3 linked regions of the Notamacropus eugenii genome follow. The protein of the gene in region 2 purifies or fractionates together with the protein of the main gene of each other region. This does not show direct contact. Links are inferred from orthologs where the notes say so. Each region holds a gene or a part of one and is shown on either strand. Other genes may lie near its edges. The genes, in order: PBRM1, BCL7A and ARID1B.

What was found.
Region 1: the proteins of BCL7A (region 2) and PBRM1 purify together in Homo sapiens (affinity purification with mass spectrometry; 3 studies listed by BioGRID and IntAct, counting the BioPlex papers as one, with this or other methods). This does not show direct contact. The link is inferred for Notamacropus eugenii from reciprocal best matches to the Homo sapiens genes BCL7A and PBRM1.
Region 3: the proteins of BCL7A (region 2) and ARID1B purify together in Homo sapiens (affinity purification with mass spectrometry; 4 studies listed by BioGRID and IntAct, counting the BioPlex papers as one, with this or other methods). This does not show direct contact. The link is inferred for Notamacropus eugenii from reciprocal best matches to the Homo sapiens genes BCL7A and ARID1B.

Annotation. Positions count from the first base shown.
Region 1 is NC_092872.1:1,729,989-1,733,729, reverse strand, and holds the start of PBRM1 (protein polybromo-1), read right to left. Parts: upstream 2,541-3,741; 5' UTR 2,370-2,540; intron 450-2,369; 5' UTR 366-449; coding exon 318-365; intron 1-317. Other genes in the region: GNL3 (guanine nucleotide-binding protein-like 3), read left to right, coding at 2,825-2,837, 3,292-3,350, 3,514-3,651. UniProt on the Homo sapiens protein: Involved in transcriptional activation and repression of select genes by chromatin remodeling (alteration of DNA-nucleosome topology). Required for the stability of the SWI/SNF chromatin remodeling complex SWI/SNF-B (PBAF).
Region 2 is NC_092875.1:37,251,028-37,254,768, reverse strand, and holds the start of BCL7A (B-cell CLL/lymphoma 7 protein family member A), read right to left. Parts: upstream 3,025-3,741; 5' UTR 2,885-3,024; coding exon 2,676-2,884; intron 1-2,675.
Region 3 is NC_092873.1:250,123,465-250,127,205, forward strand, and holds the start of ARID1B (AT-rich interactive domain-containing protein 1B), read left to right. Parts: upstream 1-1,032; 5' UTR 1,033-1,284; intron 1,285-1,564; 5' UTR 1,565-1,682; coding exon 1,683-3,638; intron 3,639-3,741. UniProt on the Homo sapiens protein: Involved in transcriptional activation and repression of select genes by chromatin remodeling (alteration of DNA-nucleosome topology).

The sequences.
Region 1 (3,741 bases), on a different chromosome or scaffold from region 2:
AGGTATTTTTTAAAAAATGACCCAATAGTACTGGTTCCTGTATAAACAGGTCTACGGTTAGGTGTGGAATGTTTAAATGGGGTAAAAGGTATTTCATATAAATAGGTCAGGAATATGAAGTTTAAAAAAATCGGATAAACTTTCAATATATCATAAAAATAATGAAATACTCTTGATGCAATCCAAAAACAGCAATCCCAGGAGTCCGATGAAGAGAAGAAAGGGCTCCTTAAAGGGTCGGCCCAAAGCCAGCAGTGAAGGGCGAGCAGGGGAAGACAGGAGAAAGGAAGCGGGTGGGTAAAGGACCAGAGATTTACCAGATTTACCAGAGTACAACCAGCGCCTCGAAAAGCCAGTCTCCTCATTGTGTCTGAAGGCCAGGGCAAGCTAGTGGGAGAAGGCAGAGCTTTACAAGCGCTGAGTCGGCAGAGCTGTTACTAGGCTCAGAACTGAAAAAGAACAGACAGAAAAGGGAAAATAAAAAGGAAGGGTCAGAGGAAGTAAAAGGAGCGAGAACAGACAGCAAGCACTGAAGCAGAACTGCTGAAGAGGGATGCCACGGAGAGCTGCACAAAGGAACACTAGTTAACACCTAGGGAACCGATTCCTGCCAAAAGGTTTCTTCACAGAGTAACGAGAAATCTTCAGTCACCGAGAGGTGCTTGGATCAACTTCGTTTCTTTAACCAACTGTCCGGCTACGGTTTTTAGGACATAACTAGGTAAGTCTATAGAAAATATGACTTGAGGCCTAAGTTTTAAAATACGGGGGGAAAGCCACTTGAGGACAACCTCCAAACTTCTACTTTCTGAGAGTACTTTCTGTAGGCACCTTCAAAAACCAGGAGTGTCCACGAAAAAGTACGTTTCTTGTTTAAAAAGTGGCTATTTACTTATGCAGCTTAAGAAAATGTGGAACCCTTCGCGGGTGCTGTTCCCACGGTGCCAAAGGGCAGTTTCTGGAGCTCGGTTCTGGACGTCCAAAAAGCCCGGGCCGCGGCCAGGAACTTGGGGGCTAAGAGGGAAGCGGGGTGCCGCCTGCCTGAGGGCCGGGCACCCCGGGGCGGGGGCCGGGGCGGGGGCAGGGGCAGGGGGCAGCGAGCCCGGGGCGGGGGGCAGGGGGCAGGGGGCAGGGGCCGGGGCAGCGAGCCCGGGGCGGGGGCAGCGAGCCCGGGGCGGGGGCCGGGGCCCGGAGCAGCGAGCCCGGGGCGGGGGGCAGGGGGCAGGGGCCCGGGGCAGCGAGCCCGGGGCGGGGGCCGGAGCCCGGGGCAGAGAGCCCGGGGCGGCCCAGCAGCCTGGGCACTCTCGCACTCGCCTGCACCGCTCCCACCACCGCAGCCCCCTCAGAGGCAGCAGCTCTACTTTAGACCCCTCAGAGCCCCTCCGCACACACCGCGCACCCCTCCGCACACAAGCACTTTCTTCACAAAACGAACCTCAAGATCGCGCCGACACCCTGCGGAGTCAGCCCGCGGGATTCCCAAGGGGACCCACGCAAGACAACCTGCCCCCCGGGGGCCCAGGCCCCGGTGCAGCGCGGGGCACCAAGCTGGACCGGGACGAGGCCTGGACCCCGCAGATGGAGGCCCCTCACCGTCCCGCACCTCTCGAGTCCCCCCGTCCCCCCGCAGCGCCCCTCCTTCCAACATCTTTCACCAGACCCCGCCGCGCGGGAAGCTCTGGGTTCAAATCCCGGGCGCCCTCCCGGACGCTCCCAGCACGGAGCCGGCCCTTCCCCTTAAAGCATTCTGGGGAGAGGACGGAGCAGCTCATTTCTGGGGATGCCGCAGGAGGGTCCCCCGCCGGGAAGCAGAGCTGGGGGGACACGGGACGCGGGAGGCGCCCCCCGCCCAGACCCCAGCCCGGCCCAGCCGCTCAGCAGGGGGGAGTCTCCGCCGCCGGTGGCGGGCTCTTTGGAACTCTCAACTTTCGCACCATTTGAGCTGCCTCGGTCCGGCCGGGTCCGGGGGGGCGGGGGGCTCCCCAGCCCCGGGATCCCCCCGGTGACATCCGGAGCGCCGGGGCCCCGAGGGCCCGGCCGGGCGGGACTCGTCCCCATTTCACAGAACCAGAAGCTGGAGGCGCCGGAGCCCGAGAGGGGGGCGTCGGGAAGAGTTAGGAAACTCAGGAATCTCGGGGGAAGGCGGGAAGGGGGCCCTCCCGAAGAGGGGGACCCCGAACCCGGCGGGGGTGGGGGAGGGGGGCCCTGTCCTCGGCGGGGCGCCTCGCAGGGCCGGGGGAGCGGGCGGCGGCGGGCGGCCCCCCGGCTTCGGCCGGGCTCCCCGTCCCCGGGGCCGCCACACAAAGGGGCCCGTCCGGGCGGCCGCGGCCTCCTCGGCGGCCGCCGCTTCCCCGGAGCCCCGGCCTTACCCAGCTGCTCCGCCGCCTGCAGCCCCTGCCGCGGTCCCCGACCGCCGGCGCCGCGCCCCGTCCCGTGGCCGCCACGGCTAGGCTGGCGCTGCCGCTGCTCGGCCCGCTCCTGCTCTCAGACCCTCTCGGCTCGGCTCCGACTCCCTCCTGGTGCCGCCGCCGCCGCCGCCGCAAAGCCAGCCGCACGGCCGCCAAGCGAGACCGGCCCCGCGCGACCGTGCGCGTGCGCGCGCCCTGGGGTGAGGGGGCAGGGCCGCGCCGGAGGGAGCGAAGGGCGCGGGGGCGCGAGCGCGAGCCCGGCCGGGTTCTGGCGCGGGGCGGGGCGGGCGGGCGGGGCGGACGCTGGGGCACGGGCGCGCTTTACGGCAGCGTCTGCACGTCGTGACGGCGCGGCGCCTCAGTCTGCACGTGGTGTGCGAGCCGGCCGGACGCGGAGCGGCTTCCTCCTCAGCGCCATGAAGCGGCCTAGTGAGTGTCCGTGGTCCGGGCGGGCGGCCTGCGGGGCCCGGGGCGGCCGGGGCGGGAGCGGCCTGCGAGGCGGGGTCGGGCGGCCTGCGGGGCGGGGGCGGCCTGGGCTGAGCTGAGCCGAGCCGAGCCGAGCCTCGGGGCCCCGGAGCGCTCGTCCCCGGCCGGCGGGCCTGGCGGGCGGGCTCCGGCGCTGGGCCGAGGCGCCCCTTGGGTTCGCCCTTCCCCCTTCTCGGTGGGTTTTCGGGCCCTGCGGCGTGGTCGGCCCGCCAGGCCGGGCAGCGCCCGCATCGAGCCACCCCCGCGCCACGCTCTCGTCTGCGGGCGCGGAGGGGCCGAAAGGCAGGGAAGTGAACGGTCCGGGCCGCGCGGTCAGGTCACGCCTTGGGCCTTGCCCCGGAGGTACGAGGGAGCACCGGCCCGGTTCTGACCCGGCTCTGAATTGTCTTGTTCCCAGAATTAAGAAAAGCGAGTAAGCGCATGACGTGCCGTAAGCGGTTTAAGATCCAGAGAAAGGTGGGTGTCGTGGTCCGCTCCGGGGGGCACTGATCACCCTGGGACGTGCCCGGCGCGGGGCGGTCCGGCCCGGTCTGGCCCGGTCCGGGTCGTTAAGTTGCTTTCGCCGAGCAGGCGGGACCTCGGGAATTTCCGAGCCCATCCCAACGACTTGTTGAAACAGGTGCGGGAGCATCACCGCAAAGCGCGGAAGGCGGCCCGGAAAGGGGGTGCCCGAAGGCCCAGGAAGGACCCCGGCGTGCCCGGCAGCGCCCCGTTCAAGGAGGCCCTGCTCCGCGAGGCTGCGCGCCGGAAGCAGCAGGTGAGGCGGGGGCGGGGGTGGGGGCAGGGGCAGGTGAGGCTGAGGCGGGGGGGGGGGGGGGGGGGGGGGGGGGCAGGTGAGGCGGGGGCG
Region 2 (3,741 bases):
GTTTATGTCCCGCATCCCTGATGGAAGGCAGCCTGGGCCAGTGCCACCTCCTCTAATCTTTACCAGAGCATTTCACAGAACAATTCTGCCTCTCTGGAGACGCAGGGCTCTTCTCTCCCTTAACCTCTAACCCACTGGGGTTGGGTTTCTTCTTCCTCTCCATTGGCTGGTCCATCAAAGCAGGCACCACCTTTGTTTTTCTCCCACAGAATCTTTCAGTAGTGTTGTATAACCATTGAGGTTTTTGGATTGTGGAAATGCCACTATGGGTTTGCTATTGCAATAGAAGGAAATGGGGTGGTAGGCCTCACCTTTAGAAGTGAAGAGCCTTGATGAGATGGATACAGTGGAAGGGTAACTTTTTTGAAGGGTTGCTGCTGTGGAACTTTTAAGCCAAAGGATACACCAAACCAGATCTTCCGGAAAGGACCAGTACCAAGTACCAAGGTGCTGCAAATTTCCTGTCAGCCCTGAGTCCAGTTAAGATATAATTATGGACCTTGCTTGTCTAGAGCCCCCACATCCTCAGAGCTCAACTCAAAAACTCAAAACAATGGTCACTGCGGGGAGGAAAGGGTCCAGAGTAATGAGGCCCACTCCAAAAATCTTATCTGGTAACAAAAGCAAGGTGGAGGTGGGGAGCCAGCCTCAAAATCAGATCCCAAAAAGAAATTCTAAAAAACCAAAATGACAATCGGCCGGCCAGGAGATGATAAGAGCTCTAGCTTTGACCTCTGGATTAAGTCAAAGAAGAAAATAAACATTCCCCAAGCTGGCTGAATTCTAGGATGGGCACAAGGAACAGCCCCTCGGAGTTGAAGTGAGGTGGCTCCATCTGCCCTGGTGCAGGCAGCTGGGGAGTCCTGCTGGGCAGCTGAGAGCCTCATAAGCAACCAGCTGGAGCAGCTGTCAGGTCGCTGGGGCCCTCCACAAGGTCCTCCTCTGAATGGGGAGGGTAGGGGGCACAGGCGAGGTGACAAGAGAACAGGAGAGTAATGTGTCCACTCTATATTTGTAGGTTTGGATTCGAATGCAGTGAGAAAAGTGCTGGGCTCCGGGTGTCCCTGGTGACAGATAAAGGGACACGGAGAAAGTACACTTTTCTTAAGGGAAAACTTTCCCATCTGACCCAACCCATCATACAACAGAAGAAGGTTCTCGGATAAGTTTTTGGTTTTTGGTGGTTGGCGGATTTTTAAAAATCATTTTGTAGGGATGCATTTCCGGAATTTGGTAATCCCTTTAACACCAGGGTTGTGAGTCAGAATGGACTGGAACAGCCGAGCCTCACAAGCCGCTTCTCATGGTTCTGAATATTCTTTGTCCCCTGGTAAGCCAAATCAGCCCATTGTCCCGGCATCTAGCCACTCGGAGGCAACCCATTTCAATAGGAGGGCTGGGAGCACGTGGACGTTATTGATTTTTTTCCCCCTTTTTCTTTTTTTTATCCCGGTCGGATTTGGCTCAAGAGGGTAACTGCTAACTTCTGACAACCTACGAGGGAGCCCTGCTTCCAGTGCGACCTTAACAGGAGAGGGGACTTTACTTTAAAAAAAGCAACACTATGCCCTGAACTTGTCAGCCAAGCCTAAAGTTGTACGCATTCGTGTTTATATATAGGTCAAAACATCCTGAAACATTATAGAGCGGTCCAGCGAACTTCTGGGAACACTCCTCCCTCCCAGCCCACAGGCCAAGGGGGAGGGGGCTGGTAAGTGCATGGGAAAGCAAAGTTGAGACGAGGGGCACGCGGGTTAGAGTTCCACCCAGGTGGGCTCGGCCAAGCCCGCACACGCCGGCGTTAGGACAAGGTGGGCGCCCCCAGTCACTAGCGGACCACCGTCCCCCCCGGCTGGAGCCAAACCAGCCCAAGGTTAACAAGAAGCCAAGTTTCGATCAGAAGCCGAGTGCCTTCATCTCCGTGCACGAGGCGGCTGCCCCCCAATAAGAGCCGGCTGGGCTGTATTCACACCCCGCCCCGTTTCACAGCACCCCTCTTTTCCGGGGCAGAAGCAGCGCGCTCGGTGCCGGACCCGGCAGACGCTTCTCAGCGCCCGGGTCAATTACGAGGAAACTGACCAGCCTCGCTCCCGGCCGGAGGGGGTGGGGGTCGGCCCGGCCCCAGCGCGGCTCCCGGCTCCCGCTCGCTCGGCGGCCTCGGCAGACCGCGGGGCGCCGGCGGGGGAGGGGCGGGGGCCGCGGGAGGCGCACCCCCCAGCCCCCGGCGGCACAATGGAGCCCGGCAGCGCGGCGCATCCCGCCCGGGCCCCGCGGCGGCCGCACAAAAAGCAGCCTTCATGTGACTCGCGGAGAACGAAATGGCTTCTGGGTCCTGCCTGGGTTTCCCCTCCCCGCCGCCGCCGCCGCCGCCGCTGCCTCCGCCCCGGGGAGCGGCTCCGGGCTGCGGGCTGCGGGCTCGCGCACGGCCGGGCTCGGGGCCGCCGCCGCCGCCGCCGCGCCAGGTGGGGCGGGGAGCAGCCCGAGCCGCGGCGCGAGCGCACCTGGGGCAGCCGCTCGGCTCCGCTCCGGCTCGGCTCGGCTCCGGCGCGGGCGCCCCCTGGGCAGGTGACCCGGGCTCGGCCCCCTCCCACCGCCCCTCCCCGGCCCGGCCCGGCCCGGGCCCCCCCGGCGCACACACGCGCGCCGGCCCTCCGGGGGGGCCCGCCCCCCCTTACCATTTGCGCACTTTCTCGATGGCCGCCATGACCCTCTTGATATCATCTTTGGCCCGGCTCCTGGTCTCGGCTCGAACCGACCGGCCCGACATGGTGCTGGCTAGGCGAGCGAGGCTGCTGGAGCGCGCCCTGGCCCTGCTCGCTTTCCCCTCCCCGGCCGCGCACTCGCTCGCACGCACACACACACACACACACACACACACACGCATGCATCCACACACTCGCTCACACACTCGCACACATACACACACTCCCGCACGCACGCACACACTCGCACACACACACACATACAGACACACAAAGCCTGCTGCCGCCGCTCGCTCCGGGCCCAGTGCGCAGGCGCCCAGCGGCGGCAGGAGGGGCAGCCGCAGCAGCTCCGGGCCGGGGCGGCAGAGGCAGCAGCGAGCAGGGCCCGCGGCCCGGGCGGCCCGGACGGACGGCCCGGACGGCGGCGGCGGGGTCACGGCCGCGGGCCGGAGGCGGCCCGTGCGGCGCCAATAGATCCATCCATCCATAAGGGGGGTGACCCGCGGGCGGCCCTGCCACGGGCCCCCGCCCCTTCTGCGCCTCCAGATCGACCCCCCCCCGCGCCATCCTTCCCCCAAAGCGCCCCGAGCGAGCGCTGCGGCAGGCTCCGCTGCCGAGCCTCGGGGGCCGTCCCGGGGCCGCGGGGGCCCGGCTCGCTCGCTTCCCGGCCCGGGCTGGCCTGCGCTCCCCGGGCGCTGCTGCAAGTTTCCTGCGGGCCTCCCTACGTCCGCAGCCGGAAGGCTGCAAACTTCATTCTGGAAAAGTTACAGCTGTTTTCTCCCCTTTGTCTAAAAAGTAGGGCGAGAAAGGAAAAGAAGACGAATCCCTTCCCTCCCCCGCGTTGTCTTCGTGACTGGGGAACTCTGACCTGGCCACCCGTCCCAGATCCTTTACCTGCCTGTTTAAGTAGCTGCCTCACCTGGCCTGAGAATCCTGAGCCCTGAACCGAGCCGCGGGGCCAAGCGCTAGCGCCCCGGGCTCCTTCCCCGGGATCCCTGACTTTGCAGCGGACAAAGGGGAAGGGGCTGTTTGGACAGGT
Region 3 (3,741 bases), on a different chromosome or scaffold from region 2:
ATACGACCTAATAAATTTCTTTCTAAAACTATTTCAGATTTGGGAGTTTGTTCTTGTGAACAGCAATATGTGTATTATGGAAATAATATATGTATACATGTGTATATACACAAGAGTGCACATACAACCCATATATCTAGGGAAACAGCCGTGTATACGGAAAACAACACATGCATGTATGCATACATACGTATGCACATGGGGAACACGGATGTGACATGCGTACACAAGGAAACACATGCATGTAAAATGGAAATGCACATAAACCTACACGTGTATTTGTGTGCCTACGTCCCCACATGGGCACAAGAAAGGAACTTTTATTTTTTGTTGATAGCTTTGCATACAAATGTACTAAGATGACCCATAAACAAAGATTATGTTAATAATAAAATCTTTGGGGCAGATGTGGACATTGGTAATTAAACATTTATTGAGCGCTTACTGCATACACAGCACTATCCGTTTTGGACGGAGCTGTATATACTACGCTCTTCTAAAATAAAAATACGGCACCCCATTGCAAACCTGCAGAAAATTCACGAATCCACCTTATTTCGTAGCTTGAGTAAAGTTGTAGCAATCATGTTGCCTGACTTCAGACCAATGCATAACGGGTTAACAGCCTGCAAATTACATAATGAATTCTGAAATAGCTAACGCTCCCCCCCCCCCCCCGACTGCCCAAATATTTTTATTTTTAGTCAGCGCGGTGTAACCTTTGAGCCAGACAGACAACTTTGTTCCCCAATCCGTCTCCTTCTTTTGTCCGCCAGTCAGACCCGTTTTCCACCTTTGTATCGTTCCTTTTAAACATGAAAACAAACACATTAATGCCTAGTTGGCAGGGAAACAGATGCAGAAGGGGAGAGTGCAGGCCCCTCCGGCCCCGCGCCGTGGCGTTAGGAGCGGCTGCGGAGCTCGCTCGGAAAGCCTGCCCCGTCCGTGCCTGCGCCGGGAGTCTCCGCCGCGCGCCGCCGCTCGAGCCGCCCGAGCTGACGGGAGAAGGTAGCTGGAGCTCCGCGGGGAGCGCCGGGGACCGTGCCGGAGGGGGAGGGGGAAGTCCAGTCCGCGTTTTGCGAGTGCGCGGCGGTAATCAGAGAGAAGTGGATAATAGTTGTTCGGGCTCTCTCCGCTCTCTCTCATGCCATGCTGGGCCAGATAGGCTCAGTCAGACGTGTATTTACCCATATCCGGGTTAGAGAGGAAAAGAAAAAAAGTTTCATTTAAACCTCAGCTAAAAACTTTCAACATGAAATCCCACAGCAAGAACAGGCATAGACCGTAAGATATTATTATCGTTTCTAATCTCGGTCCAGGACTTGGGGCGGGGGGGAAGGGGGAGGGTAAAGGGGGGATGTTTTTATTTTCTTTGGGGGTATGTGGACTGGAGACCGAGAGCGGCTGTTTATTAAAAAAGTGTCTTCCTTGTTTTCTCCCTTCCCCTCTCTCTCTCCCCCTCCCCTTTCTTTTGTTTTATTTTTGTTTTGTTCGGGGGGGTGGGGGGGGGTCGGGGGGGCACATTGGACTCGCGATGTTGCAATGATCATGGCCGCGCGAGTAGCATCAGCCCCGGCGGGTGCGGAGCACAGTGATCGGGGCGCCCCGCTCTGCGTCCGTGGCCGGCTCACTTGACCCAGGATCTCCCGCGGGGGGGAGCCGGAGCGGCGGGACCGGGATCCATGCTAGGGGTCGGCGGCGATGGGCCCGGCGGCGGCGGCTTGAATAACGTAGCTCCCCATCCCCTGCACCACCATAATGAACTGAACATGGCCAATAACGCGAGCTCTGCCGCCGCCGCCGCCGCCGCGGCTGCCAGTAATAATAACACGAAGAGCGGCGGCGGCGGCGGCAGCAGCGGCGGCGGCGGCTCGTCCGAGGCGGCCCTCAAGGAAGGTGGCAACGCCGCGGTCTTCTCCTCCTCCTCCTCCTCCTCCTCCGGTGCCTCCTCCTCTTCGTCCGCCCCGGCCATGGAGACGGGGCTGCTCCCCAACCACAAACTGAAAAACGTCGGCGATGCCCCCGCCGCACCTCCCCACCACCAGCAGCACCACCACCATGCCCACCACCACCACCACCACCACCATCCTCACCATCTCCTCCACCACCACCACCACGCATTACAGCAGCAGCTAAGTCACTTCCAGCAGCAGCAGCAGCAGCAGCAGCCCATCTCCAACAACAACCACAGCCTCGTCGCGGTCGGCGGCGGCGGCCACGGAGCGGGGGGCAGCGGCCACGGAGCGGGGGGCAGCGGCGCTGCTGCTGCTGCTGCTGCTGTCGCGGCGGCGGCGGCGGCTGCTGCTCAGCCCAGTCCGGACATGGAGCCCCAGCAACATGGAGGAGGCAAAGACGGGGTTTTGGGAAATCAGGCCGAGCCCCAAGCGCGGCAGCTGCTGAGCAAGGCGGGAGAGGAGGAAGAGCTCCCGACCAAAATGGGGGAGCAGATGGGCGGCCGGTACGAGCACCCCAGCCTGGGAGCTTTGGGCGCGCAGCAGCAGCAGCCGCCGCCGCCGCCGCCGTCGCAGCAGCAGCACCAGCAGCAGCAGCCACAGCAGCAGCAGCAGCAGCAGCAGCAGCCGCCCCAAAGCACCGGGAACGGCAGCGGCGGCGGCGGCGGCGGCAATGGTAGCCTCGGCAGCGGCGGCGGCGGCGGCCCCTCCGCCTCGGTGGGGGTCTCGGAGTTTAATAATTACTATGGCAGCGCTCCCCCTGCGAGCGGCGGCACAGGCAGCCGAGCCGGGCCTTGCTTTGATCAACATGGCGGACAACAAAGCCCCGGGATGGGGATGATGCACCCGGCCGTCGCCGCCGCCGGGCCCCCCAACAGCATGGACCCCTTGCAAAACTCCCACGAAGGCTACCCCAACAGCCAGTACAACCATTATCCCGGCTACGGTCGGCCCGGCGCGGGAGGCGGAGGAGGAGGTGGCGGCGGCGGCGGCGGCGGTGCTGGAGGAGGAGGAGGAGGAGGAGGAGGAGGAGGAGGAGGAGGAGGAGGTAGTGGAGTAGGAGGAGGAGGAGGAGGAGCAGGAGCGGGAGCAGGAGCAGTGGCGGCGGCGGCCGCAGCGGCGGCAGCAGCAGCAGCAGCGGGAGGCGGCGGCGGCGGCGGCTATGGGGGCTCGTCCTCGGGCTACGGGGTGCTGAGCTCCCCCCGGCAGCAGGGCAGCAGCATGATGATGGGCCCGGGAGGCGGCGGCGGCGGCGGAGGAGGCGGCGGAGGCGGCGGCGGCGGCGGCGGCGGGGCTGCTAGCCTGGGCAAGGCTGCCGCCGCCGCCGCCGCTGCCAGTTCTGCCGCGGGAGGCTTTCAGCGCTTCGCCGGGCAGAACCAGCACCCTTCGGGGGCCACGCCGACCCTCAATCAGCTGCTGACTTCCCCGAGCCCCATGATGAGGAGCTACAGCAGCAGCTACCCCGATTACAGCGGCAACCCTAATGCCCCAGGCCAGCAGCAGTCCCAGGCGCAGGGAGCGGCGGGGGCAGCTCCAGGAAGCCAGCAGGCAGCGGCGGGCATGGGCATGGGCAAAGATCTGGGCTCCCAGTATGGAACTGCAAACCCCGGCTGGGCAGCGGCACAACAAAGAAATCATCCAGCTATGAGCCCTGGAAACACTGGACAGACCATGAACAGATCCCAGGTAACTACTCGAAAAAACCAGGGCCTTCTCCTAGGGCTCGAGACACCCCTCAACCCGTAGGCGAGCTTTAGTTAGTTTCTTTCTCATTTACTTTTTTCCCCTC